Kluyveromyces lactis: one gene and its partners. The main gene of each other region encodes a partner of the protein of the gene in region 5 in a complex. Links are inferred from orthologs where the notes say so. Each region holds a gene or a part of one and is shown on either strand. Other genes may lie near its edges. The genes, in order: MRPL17, MRPL33, MRPL44, MRPL11, MRPL38, MRP35 and IMG1.

Region 1 (2,568 bases), on a different chromosome or scaffold from region 5:
AGTCGTGCTTAATATTTTACACCACTGGTGCTCTTGATAAAATGACAATGGTTGATTTACGTTCAGGCAGACCGAAAACTATGGTATCGACCGATGATCGTAAACGAAATGATTTTGTTAAGAAAAGCACCGATCGGAGCAGTAGAACTCAAAGAGACACACCACAGCGCGGGAAGAGGGATAAAGAGCTGCGCAAACAACCATACAAGAGAGATGCTGATAAATTCAGTGAGAAGTCGTTTGGTCGCTCCAACACAGGGTCTTCTTTTAGAAAGCCAAATGATAGATGGTGATAGATTTAAAAGTTAATTAGCATTCTTACAAGTATATAATGTTCCAATCTTAAAATCAATCAGAGTTCAGCAATATGTATATGATTGTTATCTTTTAGTGTTCGATACGGGTTGGAATTTCTATCCGAAGCAGTATTTACAGGAGGGTTTACATATATATATAGTGATTAAATCATGCCAATACTTTCTGTGTTTGATGATAATATGTTAATTCTCAGCAAGAACATATTGTATACTATTGAAATATCTCTCGTCAACAGCTTTCTTGATTTCATCTTTTGTCAACCATGCAAATTCTTTGATTGACTTTTCATCCTTTAACTTGAATTCACCTGCTATGATATGCGATTTGATCAAAAACTGGAGATCTTTTTCAGATTGTAGAACACCTGCTGGAGTATTCGACACAGTCCATGTATTAATATCTTCTCCGCCGATTTTTCTTAATCCCACTTCAGCGGTCTCATGTAAAGCTTTCTTTCCTTCCTTAGCTTCAATATCAACCGGGAAACTTGGAAGAACCCAGCTTCCCTTGTCATCCTTCACAAGCAAATGCAGAGTTCTGTCCAATTTTCTGTCTAAACTAGTAATATCGTTATTTTCGTCTGCCTTTGTAGTTCTGGAATTAGGAACAATTGGCCTTGAGACATCAGACTTGTTTGAACCTTCTGAAGCCTCTCTTGGTAGCATAATATCTTGCTTTTGACTTCTTTCTCTGTTATGTCTGACGTCTGGCACTCCTTTAGGGAACCATACACCAGGCTGCTTGCTAATCACACCTTTCTGTACAGACTGGAAACGACGCTCTGCCAAAGTACCTTTTTTGAAATAGAAATAAGATGGAAATGTCCACATTAGTCTTCTTTCCAGTTCTGCCTGGTATTGGTAGTACTTGTTCTCTAGTGCATTCAATTCTGGAGTGACGATTGGAACACGAGAAAGTACCAAACCTGCCTTTACTGCCTTGGGAATCGAGCTTGCTGCTGCTTTCACAGACATTTTTATTTATAATTGTGTCGATGAAGAGGGTTGCTGACTGAATATACACGATGATTGACAGCTGGTGAATATGCTTCCCAATTCTGATAAGCGGCACTATTTCAACATGATGCTGATGTTCCAATAATTTTTCAAATTGTTTGAACATCCTCTCATGCCTACTATTCCAAAATTTTTCAATATGAAATAATCGATCACGATATACGGATTTGATAACTTTCCAAGTGGTGTCACTAATAGAACAAAGTAGTGAGTGAATTGCATATGCATAAAGGCTATCAGATACAGAAAATTATTTAAGTGCATTTATATAAGCATTATTTTGGCGTTTGGTTCAAAATATTCATCAATGTGTTTAATTGCGCAGTTGGATCGAAATTTTGTGGGGGTTGAGGAGATTTTTGGCCCGAAGGTTGAGTAGACTGATGCGATTGCTGCTGCTGCTGCTGCTGCGCAGATGATGCCGATCCCAGCAGTTGATTTTGACCATATACCATTGATGGAGGCTGCTGATACAATGGCTGGTTATAATACTGTTGTTGGATTTGAGGAACGTTCGGTATTTGTGATGTTTGAACCGGAGGAGGAGGAGGAGATATATTACTGTAGGGGATAGGTGTTTGAGAGACAGCAGTAGCTTGACCAACTTTACCAGACTTGGGACCCAAAACACCTTTATCAGTTGGCATCTTTTGCGAAATCGCTTTTGATGAAACACCTTCACCAACAATAATATCGGGCTCCTCATAAACCATGTTTGTTTGGATTGGTTGACCACCAGTACCACCCCATTCCGCGGACTGTGACCATTTGAAGTCAATTTCGGTTAGCCTGGCCAATGGGATGATTGAATATCCATATTGATAGTCACAACAGTCTCTAGGACCGAAACCAACGGCCCAACGGATTCTCAAACCATGTGTCGGATTGCCACCACCAGTGAAATGCGCCATGATCCTCTCCGCTTCTGCTCTTGAATAGACTTTCACAAAGGCGTGCTTACGGGCATTATTCAAAATAACACTCTGAACCTCACCGAATTGTCTTAACATTCTTGCAATATCATGTTCTTTGAAATTTTGTGGGACACCACCAACGAAAAGGGTTCTGGAATATACTTTTACGTGGTCCCTTGGCACAGTTGGATCAAAGGATACCGGTTTTGGCCTAAAATGAGGGTTTGAGGGAACATTCTGCTCATCTGGGTACAAATGATGGTTATTTCCTTGTTGACCATTAATTGACTGCTGCTGTTGTTGTTGTTGTTGTTGTTGTT
Region 2 (2,151 bases), on a different chromosome or scaffold from region 5:
ATTATACCACTGACTTTGGTGTCTGGATATTTTTCTAGCACTTTCTTTTTAAACTTCAAAGAAAGCAACATGCCAACATTTTTGGTAGTTGTTCTTGGTTCAATGGCACCTGTTGTTTCTTTGTCGTAGTCAATTAACATCTTATCTGTCATATCAAATAGATCTTCTTTCCAAGCAATTAATACTCCGTGGTTTTTGGTAGGATTAAAATGGAATTGACACATGTAACCTAGTTTTGTGAACTCCATTTTCCAGAAAGACTTGTATTGAACCGTGTCAATTTCTTGCAAACACAGTACGTCAACATTGTAATATTTGAATTCATTGAGTAAAACTTGAGATCTTTTAAACCATTTAACAGCATTTCCGCTCGTAGGAAACAGTGTTCTTCTAATCAAAGCTTGGGCAAGACAATTATACGTCATTATACTGATTGGACATACCTCTCTCGTCGATTGGCCTGATGAATCTCGAGGAACAGCTAACATCGGCCTTTTGATAAATCTAAGGTCTGCGGGCAATTTTGGATCTATACCTTGAGCAATAAGAGCCTCTTTTTTTGCTATTTTCGCAGCTTCTCTCTTAGCTCGCATCTCAGCGATATACTCTGGAGTGATCTCATTCAAGGCCTTGCCTTTTTTCTTACTTTTCTTGTCCTTTACTTTATTCTTACCTTCTACCTTCAACTGGTCCATCCCATCAGTAATCGATAGCTTTTTTGCTTGTTCCACAAGCTCTTTTGGAACGTCTTTGACGCCGGTGTCTTGCGTACTACCAGCCATATTGGCTCAAATTATTACTTCTACTTTGCAGTGTATAGTGGCGATATAAACCTTAGAGAGATCTAACCAACCATGGCGTTAAGAGCTTGTTAATATGATATATATATATATTATTCAATCGGGCATAAATATTGGAAAAAAAGAAATGACATATATATATATATATATATACATAACCAAGCAAATGCCCCTCCTAAGACAATTTCAATGCAACTTCATATTCAGGAAGAAATATTCAAACAGCGAGATATAATCTTGAGATCTTTATATGCAATTCCTGGTTCTTTCTCAGTAGGTAGCACTTTCCTGCGACGGTTTGTGAGAAGTGCCCAAATGACATACGCGATGAGCTGCTAGACAATATACATCACATGATATCACTTTATACGTTTTGATGCTATTTGAAAAATCAATGTACGTTGGCTATTAATGGTTTGAATACCCAGTTAATCTCTTCGATAATGATGCACAAGATCTCTTAAAAGAGCGTTTTTTTTTGACATAGTTCTCTATATTGTCAACGAAACTTACGACCGAGGAAATTATACTTCATTACTGGTATTAGCGAACGGTTTCTAAAAGCATAGCTATCATAATAATTTTCAAAGATAGCCATGGTTTTCTACAGAATTACATTACAGAGGTCAGTCATTGGTACTCCACAGAAGACTAGGGCAGTGGTCAAGAGTTTAGGACTCGGAAAAAGAGGATCTGTCGCATATCAACCAGCTACACCATCTATTGCAGGTGCTGTCGCTCAGATAAAGGAGCTTGTGAGCGTTGAGCTTGCCGATAAAGCTTTAAGTAAGGCAGAACAGCGTGAGCTAAGAAAATCAAATCCTGGATTTACTGTCGAAAAGAGAGTATAGAAAGGATCATACCAGACAATATAACAAACAAAGCAATGTACCAGAAACATTTAACAGAGAAGAAACTGGGCTCACAATGAACATCTTCTGTTTTACATAAAGAAAAGGATATTAGGATTTTCATGTATATAGAGATCAAAGAAATATTAATCTTATTCTAATGAGGTATTTGAGAGTATCATATACCAAACGTCTTTATTTAGAAGACACCGGTGACTTCTCTGGTGAGAATATTCCTAGGCTGTTTCACGTATTCGTCGTCACCATCTTCACCATATTCATCATCGTCAAATGCCACCGAGAACGAATCTACAATTCTGAAGATATCATTTTTATTCATAGCTTTTCCATCAAAACTTAGTTCTATACTGTCATTTGCCGAAAAGAATTGATTTTCTTGAGCCAGCAATTGATCAACTCTATTGTACAAATGTTTTGTTTTAGGTCTTTGTGGTAACCTTTGAACACTCATATTCTGGGAGATATATTTGCTCAAAACA
Region 3 (2,396 bases), on a different chromosome or scaffold from region 5:
GATCCAAATGAGAGTGTCTTTAGCTCATCTTCGCTTTGTGAACCTTCTGCATCACTTGTATCGTTTATTCTTATGATTGATGCTATGTCATCTTCCTCATCTTCGTTTCCTGAATGAAGATCTGGCTTGATATTCTTGAAGTAAAATGACATTTGTATATTACTGGTAGTTTTTGTGGCCGTGGCTGCTTACAGGTTAGTTATCAGTCGCTTCTACATAGAAGTTCTTCTTGATTTTAAGTTTAGCTCATCGCTTCTGCATTGGCACCGTATAAAATTTTCAATATCTGGAAGAAACTTGAAATTCCTATTCAGGCGATGTAAATGAATAATGGACAGGAAGGGAGCTTCAAATAATAAGGTCTGTGATCATACCAACAGCGTTGACTCAATTTAATCCACTGAAGCATTGTAGTGTTTTATATCTTATACTACATTAAATTTCTTTTACTTATTGTTATATATACATGAATTTTGTGATGGGTATCTCGTCACAAGAAATCATTGAGATTCAATACTTTCCTTTAGGGCCAATTTTCTTGAATGACGATCAAAGTAGTTCCCTAGTTCCATGAAGTTCATACTGCTTGGATCAGCTTCCAATTCAGTTTTATCTTTGAAAGTAACTTTCACTGTAGGTTTCTTATTAGAGCCAGAAACCAAAACTTCGTTTTGCAATTGTAATCCACTTGTTCTTTGTGAAGGAGGAATAGCACTTAAGAACAACCTAGCTGTCTTGGCTGTAGATGAAGATAAATGAGACGATTGATGTTTTAATAGTAAAACAACCGTAAATCATATTATGTTAGTAATGGTGTTCGGTAGTTTTAAATGATGTCCAACTAATGATTTCTCTTTCTTTGAAGACATACCTTCCTTTCCTAATGGATTGAATTTCACAACTGCCTTAGTAAAATATTTCGTGATCATGTTGCTCTATAGTTCTCTTGACAACAGCTGACAAACTCCCAAGTATTACTCTGATGAGACGTCCTCATCCAAAAACATACTTCACAGCTGTATTCATCTCTAGCTTTTTGCCTAAAACTGTTTAAATGGTAATAGCGATCTCATCAGAGGCTATACTATTACCCGGATAGTTTTTGAATGTTTTTGGGCGATGTTTGACGAAATGAAAAATATTGAAAGAAACATCCAATTGCAAAATGAACAACTTCAATATTTGCAAATGAAGCAAGACTGCTTTTAGCACAATCGGTTTTTAGGATCCTTGGATTGTTATTTAAGGTCGATATAAGGTACTCGCCTTTAATTGTTTGCAGGTTGAACTAAGTGCGGGTTGTTTTTCATTCGTTTATTCAATTGTAACAGCCGTTGATACGGTGAATCTATTGGCAAGCTTTTTAAAAAGGAACTATTCATATTCGAATTGGACTTTCAGTTTGATTGTAACTATACTTTAACTTGATCTTATTGCCTGAAGGACCAGTATCTTTTTTATAGAAGCGAAATAAACTACAGAGCCATGTTTTTCTTCAAAGATTTGTCGTTGAATATAACGCTTCATCCATCATTCTTTGGACCTCAGATGAAGAGATATTTGATGACAAAGCTACTACAAGAGGTGGAAGGAACATGTACCGGTAAATTCGGATATATCCTATGTGTTTTAGACTGTGAAAATATCGAGATTGAACGTGGACGGATTTTGCCTACGGACGGGTCAGCAGAGTTTACTGTTAAATATAGAGCTGTGGTATGGAAACCTTTCAAGGGAGAAGTTCTTGATGGTATCGTATCTAGTTGTACAAACTTAGGTTTTGAAGTGGAAGTTGGACCTTTGTCTGTCTTCGTTTCCCCTTTTTTGATGCCAGAAGATTTGACTTTCAACAGTGGTTCCAATCCTCCATCATATCAATCATCAGAACAAATTATTACTAAAGGATCTAGAGTAAGATTAAAAATCGTCGGTGCAAGATCGGAAGTCAACTCTATTTACGCCATTGGCAGTATCAAGGAAGATTATTTGGGGGTGATATGATATTTCTTTCCTAGAACCTTTCACATTTTTCACCTAATCGCAACTATGACTATATATAGCTTTGGACATAAATTTCCAAATTCCGGTCATCATTGTTATCTGCTTCATTTGTGAGCATTTTGTATAATATAAAAGAACAAACTAATTTAACAAGCAGCATGGTCAATGTACTTTCTTTTTCTCAGCAATTAATAATAGCGTCACATTAATTTTTTGATTGTACCAAGCACAAACTGTTACAAAAATATCTGTTAAAAGCATATACATTGTTGAGAACTTTCACATGAATCAATTGACATATGACGATTTGTGTCAATGATTCTATCTTAAAGATATCACAAATAAAATAAAATAAAATAAAAATAATAACAAGAATCCCTCGTTGAATTGCATTT
Region 4 (2,668 bases), about 320 kb from region 5:
CATTTCGGAGTGCCATCTGCGAGCACTTTAAAATCATTGAAGCAAGCGGGAGTTGTCACGATGGCAAGTGTGACTCAATTAAGTGAGGCTGAATTGGCTATTGGGCACGGGATAGATATCCTAATCGCTCAAGGTGTCGAAGCGGGTGGTCATCGGGGAATGTTTAACGCATCATTAGATCCGGCAATATCCACGAGAGATTTGGTGAAATTACTAAAAGCAAAGTTGGGCACAACTATTCCTATAGTAGCAGCAGGAGGAATAATGTCTGGTCAAGATATTAAAGGAATGATGGAAGTAGGTGCCAGTGGTGCTCAATTAGGAACCGCATTTGTCCAATGCAAAGAATCGGCTGCGTCAGAAAATTACAGGAAATTATTATTTGACAAAACAAGAAATGACATAACTCAAATCACAAGCAGCATATCAGGTCGTCCGGCGCGAGCTTTGTTGAATAGTTGGCACACTGAGGTGGATATTCCAACTAGAGTGATACATCCAGGGTATCCATTTACATACGATGTGGGGAAGCAGTTAAATGCCGTGTCTATTCCAGATCATGATGGTACCGCAAATTCTTTCGCAGCACATTGGGCAGGATCCAATGTCAGCCGTATCCGTGATATGGATGCGAGACAACTAATGCAAACCCTTGTCGATGAGATGAGATAATTTTCCAGACCGTTACAGCACAGAGCTATGCTGTTTCAAATGTACGAAAATCCCGAATAGCGACAAATTCCACAATGGAACGATGAAGTTACACTAATTGTGCATTATTCTCGTCAGTTACATGACTGCATTTATTTTTTCAATGACGAAGTAGAGTTGCATCTCTTCACAATTTCACTACGACCCTATAAATCCCGGACTACCTTTTGTAAGGAAGAAATCTAATCTTTCGACATCCCTCCTAGCTTGGACAGGAGACGTCTATAACGGATTACATTATTTAAGCATGATGTTGACGATAGCAATGACAGTTTGCAGTTCGAAAAGAAGAGCAGAACTCACCAATTCCTCTATCATTTTAATTTGAACAGTCACGTGAATCGACCTTTGCCTCATTCGGGATTATATATACTATAAAGAAGATATATAAAAAATTACCAATATACATTTTTTGCTGCCATGGAAAATATACGAGAAAGTCTTCATTCCCTTCTCCATTGTTGATACCGATTTTGGCACTCATACCACTTCCAATTACCATTCATACCTTCTTACATTGAATCTAACTATGCCTCTCGTCGGTTTATTGTACCAAGTATTGAAATTCGACGATACTGAAAAATCTGAAAAAAAATGAAAAATCTGAAAAATCACTGAAGATTGATATATTGTAGTGAAGAGATATATTGGTGGGAATGAATTCGCTTAAAGTGATTCGAATCCACAGCTCAGGTCATCACCAACCACTCAAAATAGCCATGTTGTCACTTTTGTTAAGAAGCCCAGTGGTGGTATCCCGTGTCTCATATGCTTCTCCGTTTTTGGTTAGGAGGTTTGCCTCTACGCAAATTGAGAGAACTGTCTCGGATGCAGTTAGAAGAACAGTAAAGCCTTTGGACTCTCGTAAGACTTTCCTAATCGACTCTTACAAAAACCTGATGGAAACCAGTCCGGTAATGTTGTTTTGTCATCATAACAATTTGATGAAAGGGGAGAATGCACACTTCAGAGAAGAAATTAATAAGGTAGGAGGCAAGTTAACAATCTTGAGAAACAATTTGTTCCAAGTATACTTGAGAAACTCACGCAAAAATGACCCAGCTGCTCCAGCGAAACGTTCAGAACAAGACTGGAAGCATCCTTTACTGCCCTTGTTCAAAGGTCCTACGGCAGCAATTTCGTTCCCAGAGACTGATCCGGCAAAGGTAAAAAAAGTCATGAAATTATTGGAAAAAGCCCAAGACAAGTTATTCGTTATTGGCGCCAAAGTTGAAAATGATGCGTACGATTTGAGACAATTGGATTCTTTCAAGGATCTACCAACAAAAAGTCAATTACAATCAGAATTACTGGGACTATTGCACGTCTTGAGCGGTGCTGGTTTAGTTCAAACTTTAGAAGCTGGCTCAAACATGTTGTACCTAACTCTAAAGTCTCACGAAGATAATATTAACCCAGATAAGCAGAAAAACGAGAATGACAGCGAAGGAAATTAAAGTCTTTTGCCCCATCATGAAATGTAATATAAATCATTTTTACGTATCGATGTACTTAAATAAACCCATCACATATTAATATAAACTCCTGTACATATTCTTTGCACGTGACTTTTTTTGATCTCATTTGTATATTGTAAAGAAATAAAAAGTTTTTGAACATGCACTGAATCAATTGAGTCGAGAAAACCTAGGCGATGAGGTTACAATTTTTCAAAGCAGTTACTTCCACCAACCGTTAATGTGTGTTGAATAAACATAATTGAATTCTAACAGTGACTCAAATTTCCTATAACTGCCTTTGTTAGAAAATATGAGTTTTAGTACTAGACGCCAGGCGTATCGTGCTGAGAAGCAAGATCATCGCAAAGAATTGAAACATGTCAAGATCGATGAATCTGTGATTGAAAAGGTGGATAAACTATCTTTACCTAAAAAAAAGTTTTACAGACAAAGAGCACATTCGAATCCATTCAGTGATCATCAGTTGGAGTATCCAA
Region 5 (2,155 bases):
TTCCTCGAGGATATGGAAAAACATGGACAATATTATGTATTTGACGAAATGAAACATGTGTCTCCAGGTATGAACCGGTACAGAACTGCTGCACTTTATCATATCTTCCAAGTTGATCCGAATAAAAGGATAACGGTGGATTCATTGCTAAAAAGTTCGTGGATGAAGAGGACAAAATGCTGCGTTACATATCCACCAAGGCCGGTGTAACACCAAAATTTGTTTCATAGCTGAAGGCCTTGCTACTTTGGCAGATTTAGATTAGTTTCTTTCGCATCATTTTTATCTATATTTAAGATAAACATACATCTCTTTGAAACACTTATAAAATATTGATATCACTGTCAATGAGCAATAAGTTGGTAGTCGCGTATCCATCATATTTATCATGGCATTTTCATAAACTTTACTAACGATATTTTCTATTTTTTATTATCTATATACATGATTCTAAAAGCCCTGCGCAGTCGTAATCGATATTTACCAGTGGTGAAACATATTTACAAAACTTTACTTGCTAGAGAGCAAATCTTGTTGTAGCCCTTTTCCCTTAGTTCTCTGCCGACAACACCATCGTTACCCATAATTCTTGACCCTAGAGGTTCACCATTATTCTTGTTGATTAATACACAAGCATTGTCACCGAACGCAATTGTTGATCCATCAGGACGTATCATATTTCTTTGCTTGGTACGTACCACCACAGCGTGTACAATATCACCTTTCTTCACTCTGTTGTTATTGGATTGCCCAGTAATAGTTTGTGTTAATGGTTTAGCCTTCTTCACCACACAGACGATTTTGTCACCTATTCTACCTGGAGATTTTGGCGAACCTTTTCCAAGTACTTTGATACATTCGGCAATTTGAGCACCTGAGTTGTCAATGACTTTCAAAAAAGACTTCAAATAAATCATGTTATAACAGTCACAGTGTGAACTTCAGTTAGGTCGTGTGCTGCAGGCTGCTACTGATCGGGAAAGCACAGCTTTTCTTCCTGGACTATCGTTAGAGAAAGGATTAAAGCTTTCTATGTCTGGTTTCATCAAATTTTTTCTTAACCCATAATTGATGTATATCACGTGATTGATTTATTATTGGCTAATCAACGCCATTATCAACGCTTACTACATACAAATAAAGTGCTTACAACGCCGTCATTGTTAAGACAGCTGGTGTTTTCATTAGTTATCGTTATATACTTCAGTAAAATTATTAAGTATTATGCTGTTGAGAATGGTAAAACATCAGAAAAAAGGTCAATGTAACAGTATGCGTTACTATTAATGCTATTGGTATGCTTGTTGAATTAAAAATTAAGGGTTATAACTGACAAGGACAGAATAGTAGAAAATATTTTGTTAGTTTAGGATTAGTTTCAATGCTTACCCAGAGCTACTTTCACCATATCAAGTTCCCATCTCCGGGTTAAGTCTTTCGTTAAGCAGCCCTTCACTGCGTTGAATAGACCTTGGAATTCCACCTGGTCATCTACACCCAAGTTCGAGTTCATATCACAGTTACAAACTTGGCGTAGTGTCGTTTTATCATATTTACCTGAAGTTATTATTGCACGAAGTCTGGGCTCGTATTCATGTTTAAAAGGTAATTTGCCGGTAAGCATGGTGAAAATTAAAACACCAATGGCCCATATATCAGCGCTTGGTCCAATGGGAGGAGGGTTGGGTTCTAGTAACTCCGGAGCAGCGTATGGTAAAGAGCCAATTCTGCTCATGTCATCGTTGATATGTTCATGCAAATCTTTGTTAGGTGTTAATGTAATGTCTGTTTTTTGGTTCAACGAGCTGGTTAGGTTAGAACGAGTGCTCTTTGGTACGGAGTGAATACCCAAAGTCGTATCATCATGAATTAATTTTTTATCGTTCACTATTTGTCTTAACCTTGATTTCAACCGTAAAGAAGAATTATTCGTTGAAGAGGAAGATCTTGGAATTGAGGGTCTTCGTTTCAAGTGAAGAGTAGACCCATCAAATAGGGATTTCAGTTGAATTGATTCATTTTCCATCTGATCTTTGAAATGGCCATAAAAGTGACTCATGCCAAAATCGCATAATACAAGCTTCCAATCTTTGTAGTTCTCAGACTTTTTTTCTAGAAGGCAATTTTCCAACTTTATATCTCCATGTGCAATGAA
Region 6 (2,217 bases), on a different chromosome or scaffold from region 5:
TACATCTACATGGCTTTGATTATGGCTGACAAGGGTGAAGCCAACCAATACAAGGAATACTTTGACAAAGCTTTAGAATTAGATCCAAACTGCTCTGCTGTTTACTATCATCGCGGTCAAATGCATTTTGTTGTTGAAAACTTCAAAGAAGCTGGTGCCGATTTCGATAAGGCTAAGGAATTAAATCCAGAAAACATTTTTGCCTACATCCAATGTGCTTGCTTGGCTTTCCGTGACGATAGATTTGATGATTGTGAAACTTTGTTCAGCGAAGCCAGAAGAAAGTTCCCAACTGCTCCAGAAGTTCCAAACTTTTATGCCGAAATTTTGGCTGCTAAGAACTCTCTAGATGCTGCCATCAAGCAATACGATATTGCCATCAAGTTGGAAGATGCTTTACCAGGTATTCACGTCGGTATTGCTCCAATGATTGGTAAGGCCACTGCTTTGATTAGAAACCCAACCGTTGAAAACTTCGTTGAAGCTTCCGAATTATTTGAAGAAGCTTGTAAGATCGATCCAAGATCCGAACAAGCCAAGATCGGTCTTGCTCAACTAAAATTGCAACAAGAAGAAATTGATGATGCCATTCAATTGTTCGAAGATGCTGCCGATCTCTCAAGATCTTTCGATGAAAAACTACAAGCTACTACTTTCGCTGAGGCTACCAAGGTCCAGAAAAAGATCAGAGCTGATCCATTCATTAAGGGTAAGATCGACGAAGCTATTGCAGCCTACCGTGCTCAAGGTCTCGCGTAAATTAGCATGATATTCACGAATGAATTTAATTCATTTCAATATGAGTAAAGCTACAATAGCTCATTGTTTTTGTCTCACCTTAATGACCATAATGGCAACATACCATGCAACATCTAAACGAATGAATTACCAAGAAAGTTATGATTTTACAAACAAAAAGTTGTAGCATTTCACCCAAGTTATTTATGACTCGTAAGCAGCGTGAACTGTGTTAATCGTAAACGACAAGATCTCAACATTACAACGTGAAGAATAAGAAATAGTTATCAATTCTTCACAAAAACAAGACAAAAAGAAACACAGAAGAACAAGAATACGAGAACAACGCTTTTCAATAACAGCTCATTGCAAAATATGTGCTCCTAAATACCCCTGGTTCAAAAACATCATCTTCTACCATTTTGCTAGAAACAAATACGTCTTTCTGTATATACATGTATCTCCCCCATCTCACAATTTAATCAAATTGTAATTTTAAACACTTCGATAGTATATCACTACATACGTTTCAACATAAATGACATTTTTTGTTTTCTCTGAAAGAAGTGTATGTAATAAAAGTTTCTTGTGAGATTATGGCAAGGTACTGAGTGAAAGTGAGCTACAATTCAAGTACTTCATTGTTAACGGACTATAGCAGGATTTACCCCACCAGCGAACTACTTCAAATATGCTATCTTCTATCTTTGGTTCGATGATGAACTTTTCCGCTAGAACTGGACTTCTGGGATCTAAAACTAATGTTTCATCGCTCATCCTCACCAGAAACTTGATGAAAACACACAAAGGTGCCGCAAAAAGATGGAGAAAAACAGCCAATAGCTTCAAGAGGGGCAAGGCTGGAAGAAATCATGGTAATGCTGGATGGAGTAGGAACTCCCTTAAATCATTATCTGGCAGGTCATTAGCAGACTCCACACATATGCATCGTTTAAAGAGATTGCTTCCATACCATTAAGAGATGAAAGGCAATTAAAATAAGATATCGTTTCGATTTCAATCCTGTACATATAACAATGGCATCCCCATAATGAATGACACACCATTTCTTACCATGATTTTCAGTAAAGCATGTCATGAAAAATCAGCGGGTTACTATAATGGATAATTATCATTAATAAATACCTATATACAATTTGCAAACAACGGTAAAAAATGATTAATCATATATATAGTCAAATTAAGTCTCCGAGATATCATTCTCGATCCAACTACCTGTTTTTGGATTCTTTCTTAATTCTACCGTTGGGAAGTAGTGATAGTTTGTCTTTAAGGAAATGGCAAACGGAACATCGTCAAATGTCATTAAGCGTAACTTGCAGTATGTATTATCTGGGATTTCTTTAACAACCTTCAAGAATGTATCCAAATCAGGTGTTGATTGGTCATTGACGTGTGTGATAAAGTTGGTCACTTCTATTCCGTACTGTAACGCCAAAGAAGATGTACCACGAGAAA
Region 7 (2,262 bases), on a different chromosome or scaffold from region 5:
TCTCGGTCATCGCCAAACATTTACGAACTAACAATGGCTACTTGAGCAAGCTGTTTGCATTGATATGCTCTGTTAATCAACTGACGGGAATAAAGTATAATAGGATAACAATTACAAGAAGTTTGAGATCGAAATGTCACGTCCAGAAGATTTGGCACCACCAGAAGTGTTTTACAATGACAGTGAATCTAAGAAGTATAGTGGCTCCACAAGAGTGCAACATATTCAAGCTAAAATGACACTTCGGGCCTTAGAACTTCTCAACCTGCCACATACATCATATATCTTGGATATTGGGTGTGGGTCTGGTTTAAGTGGTGAAATCATCACTGAAGAAGGACATATATGGTGTGGATTAGACATTTCTCCTAGTATGTTAGCTGAAGCGCTAGAAAGAGAAGTTGAAGGTGATCTTATGTTACACGATATAGGTCAAGGTATTCCATTTAGAGCAGGTGTATTTGATGCGGCAATTAGTATATCTGTGATTCAATGGTTATGTAATGCGGACACATCGTACAACGATCCAAAGAGAAGGCTCATGAGGTTCTTCAATACACTATTTGCTAGTTTGAAGAAAGGAGGAAAATTTGTAGCACAATTCTATCCAAAGAATGATGATCAAATAGACCAAATCTTGGGAGCAGCAAAAGTAGCTGGATTCTCTGGTGGCCTTGTCATTGATGATCCCGAGTCCAAAAAGAACAAGAAGTACTACTTGGTATTAAGCTCCGGATCTACAGAACAGAATGAACAAGTCAACTTGGATGGTGTTAAGATGGATGCAGATCTAATGGTAAAGAGAGAGCGTAAAAAGAAACTAGTTGAATCAAGTAAGGATTACATCAACAGAAAGAAGGAGGTGATGAAAAAAAGAGGTAGAAAGGTAGCTCTCGACTCGAAGTTTACGGGTAGAAAGAGAAGACCTAGGTTTTAGTATGGTCTTGCATATATAGAATTAGTAGATACGCACTTAATACAATCAGCAAACATGGACTGAAACGTTATCATTCATTCACCATTTTCCGTGTCTATTGCATCTGCCATGATCAAAACGTTTAAAATGATCATCAAACCTATGTTGTAGTTTTCCATAGAAAGAACATTCGAAAATTTTGGTTAAAAAAGATGGAAACATAAGTACCTAAGAGTTAAGAAAGCACTGAAGCGCAGTTTATATTTGAGTTTAAGCCTTTACTACCCGTCAGATCAAGTTCCCATTCCAAAACTATATTAGTCCCATACAATGTTAAAGAGACTACTACCTACCGTTATCAGACAATCTGTTAGAAGTTATCAACTTCCAGCTAAGAGTGGAAGAAAGATTATTCCAGTTTACCCACCAGTTGAAAGAATATCCTCCCCATTAGTAGTGAAGACTCTAGCTGATCATGATCTAAAACAACTTGACCCAACTGGTGTAAAAACAGAGATGGTTTCAAAGAAAAACCCAAATCGTCTACGTGCAGGTGATGTTCTTCGTGTAGTTTACGATTCCAAGAAATGCAACTACGATAGTTTTACTGGATATGTGCTATCGGTAGACCGTAAGCCAATAGTACAAGACACATCCATTCTATTAAGAGATTATATTTATAAAACCTGTGTGGAAATGAGAGTGCCAATCTTCTCACCATTGGTAGAGAGAATTGATTTGATTAGAAGAGCGGATGGTAAGAGACGCAGAAGTAAACATTATTACATCAGAAACACCAGATTGGATGTCGGAGATTTGGAAGCAAGTATGAGAAAGAAGAAATGAGCACATTCACACTATCAAACACTTGCTGAATTTTCATAAAATGAAACATGTACATAGAAGCAATTCAAACATATAGTAAGTAATGCTCGATATCAATGCAAACCCAAAGACAAGGAAGATTCAAAGTTGAAAGAGCTCCAGAGTTGAACCATAATGCAAGGTACTCTATGCAGGTCCAGCTTCTCTAGGTAAAGTTATTTGTATCATTAGCATGTCGGGTGGATATATAATTGTATAATCTGTAAAATAAAAAGGCGGATTATGCTAGTCCTTATACCTCATCAAGTGCATCCAATAAGAAAGGAAAATCATGAGAAAGGATAAGCATAAGAAAGGATTTGTACGCTCTATCTAAAACAAAGCTGCATTGAGTGAGCAAGTTGCTCTATTAGAAATGAAAAGATTACAAGCAATTTTGGTCCGCATTTTTGATAATTTATGAAGGTTCTTGATTGGTTCAAAAAAGTAGTGGTATAATGTTATGAAAGCCGTACCAGCCG

What was found.
Region 1: MRPL38 (region 5) and MRPL17 share a complex: the UniProt entries of both Saccharomyces cerevisiae proteins name them as parts of the mitochondrial large ribosomal subunit. The link is inferred for Kluyveromyces lactis from reciprocal best matches to the Saccharomyces cerevisiae genes MRPL38 and MRPL17.
Region 2: MRPL38 (region 5) and MRPL33 share a complex: the UniProt entries of both Saccharomyces cerevisiae proteins name them as parts of the mitochondrial large ribosomal subunit. The link is inferred for Kluyveromyces lactis from reciprocal best matches to the Saccharomyces cerevisiae genes MRPL38 and MRPL33.
Region 3: MRPL38 (region 5) and MRPL44 share a complex: the UniProt entries of both Saccharomyces cerevisiae proteins name them as parts of the mitochondrial large ribosomal subunit. The link is inferred for Kluyveromyces lactis from reciprocal best matches to the Saccharomyces cerevisiae genes MRPL38 and MRPL44.
Region 4: MRPL38 (region 5) and MRPL11 share a complex: the UniProt entries of both Saccharomyces cerevisiae proteins name them as parts of the mitochondrial large ribosomal subunit. The link is inferred for Kluyveromyces lactis from reciprocal best matches to the Saccharomyces cerevisiae genes MRPL38 and MRPL11.
Region 6: MRPL38 (region 5) and MRP35 share a complex: the UniProt entries of both Saccharomyces cerevisiae proteins name them as parts of the mitochondrial large ribosomal subunit. The link is inferred for Kluyveromyces lactis from reciprocal best matches to the Saccharomyces cerevisiae genes MRPL38 and MRP35.
Region 7: MRPL38 (region 5) and IMG1 share a complex: the UniProt entries of both Saccharomyces cerevisiae proteins name them as parts of the mitochondrial large ribosomal subunit. The link is inferred for Kluyveromyces lactis from reciprocal best matches to the Saccharomyces cerevisiae genes MRPL38 and IMG1.

The regions. Positions count from the first base shown.
Region 1 is NC_006039.1:256,993-259,560, forward strand, and holds MRPL17 (mitochondrial 54S ribosomal protein mL46), read right to left. Parts: upstream 1,293-2,568; coding exon 501-1,292; downstream 1-500. Other genes in the region: TEX1 (Tex1p), read left to right, coding at 1-293; Nrd1 complex RNA-binding subunit, read right to left, coding at 1,610-2,568. UniProt on the Saccharomyces cerevisiae protein: Component of the mitochondrial ribosome (mitoribosome), a dedicated translation machinery responsible for the synthesis of mitochondrial genome-encoded proteins, including at least some of the essential transmembrane subunits of the mitochondrial respiratory chain.
Region 2 is NC_006039.1:553,262-555,412, forward strand, and holds MRPL33 (mitochondrial 54S ribosomal protein uL30m), read left to right. Parts: upstream 1-1,396; coding exon 1,397-1,651; downstream 1,652-2,151. Other genes in the region: NGL2 (RNA exonuclease), read right to left, coding at 1-782; KLLA0_C06292g (uncharacterized protein), read right to left, coding at 1,851-2,151. UniProt on the Saccharomyces cerevisiae protein: Component of the mitochondrial ribosome (mitoribosome), a dedicated translation machinery responsible for the synthesis of mitochondrial genome-encoded proteins, including at least some of the essential transmembrane subunits of the mitochondrial respiratory chain.
Region 3 is NC_006039.1:594,785-597,180, reverse strand, and holds MRPL44 (mitochondrial 54S ribosomal protein mL53), read right to left. Parts: upstream 930-2,396; coding exon 872-929; intron 740-871; coding exon 501-739; downstream 1-500. Other genes in the region: rRNA-processing protein RRP36, read right to left, coding at 1-152; DNA-directed RNA polymerase II subunit RPB7, read left to right, coding at 1,486-2,001. UniProt on the Saccharomyces cerevisiae protein: Component of the mitochondrial ribosome (mitoribosome), a dedicated translation machinery responsible for the synthesis of mitochondrial genome-encoded proteins, including at least some of the essential transmembrane subunits of the mitochondrial respiratory chain.
Region 4 is NC_006037.1:292,829-295,496, reverse strand, and holds MRPL11 (mitochondrial 54S ribosomal protein uL10m), read left to right. Parts: upstream 1-1,430; coding exon 1,431-2,168; downstream 2,169-2,668. Other genes in the region: KLLA0_A03289g (putative nitronate monooxygenase), read left to right, coding at 1-672; TRM8 (tRNA (guanine46-N7)-methyltransferase), read left to right, coding at 2,482-2,668. UniProt on the Saccharomyces cerevisiae protein: Component of the mitochondrial ribosome (mitoribosome), a dedicated translation machinery responsible for the synthesis of mitochondrial genome-encoded proteins, including at least some of the essential transmembrane subunits of the mitochondrial respiratory chain.
Region 5 is NC_006037.1:613,741-615,895, reverse strand, and holds MRPL38 (mitochondrial 54S ribosomal protein uL14m), read right to left. Parts: upstream 918-2,155; coding exon 501-917; downstream 1-500. Other genes in the region: putative serine/threonine protein kinase KKQ8, read left to right, coding at 1-210; protein kinase NNK1, read right to left, coding at 1,379-2,155. UniProt on the Saccharomyces cerevisiae protein: Component of the mitochondrial ribosome (mitoribosome), a dedicated translation machinery responsible for the synthesis of mitochondrial genome-encoded proteins, including at least some of the essential transmembrane subunits of the mitochondrial respiratory chain.
Region 6 is NC_006042.1:2,241,510-2,243,726, forward strand, and holds MRP35 (mitochondrial 54S ribosomal protein bL35m), read left to right. Parts: upstream 1-1,429; coding exon 1,430-1,717; downstream 1,718-2,217. Other genes in the region: protein channel TOM70, read left to right, coding at 1-759; NMA111 (Nma111p), read right to left, coding at 1,940-2,217. UniProt on the Saccharomyces cerevisiae protein: Component of the mitochondrial ribosome (mitoribosome), a dedicated translation machinery responsible for the synthesis of mitochondrial genome-encoded proteins, including at least some of the essential transmembrane subunits of the mitochondrial respiratory chain.
Region 7 is NC_006042.1:571,763-574,024, forward strand, and holds IMG1 (mitochondrial 54S ribosomal protein bL19m), read left to right. Parts: upstream 1-1,246; coding exon 1,247-1,762; downstream 1,763-2,262. Other genes in the region: BUD23 (18S rRNA (guanine1575-N7)-methyltransferase), read left to right, coding at 134-937. UniProt on the Saccharomyces cerevisiae protein: Component of the mitochondrial ribosome (mitoribosome), a dedicated translation machinery responsible for the synthesis of mitochondrial genome-encoded proteins, including at least some of the essential transmembrane subunits of the mitochondrial respiratory chain.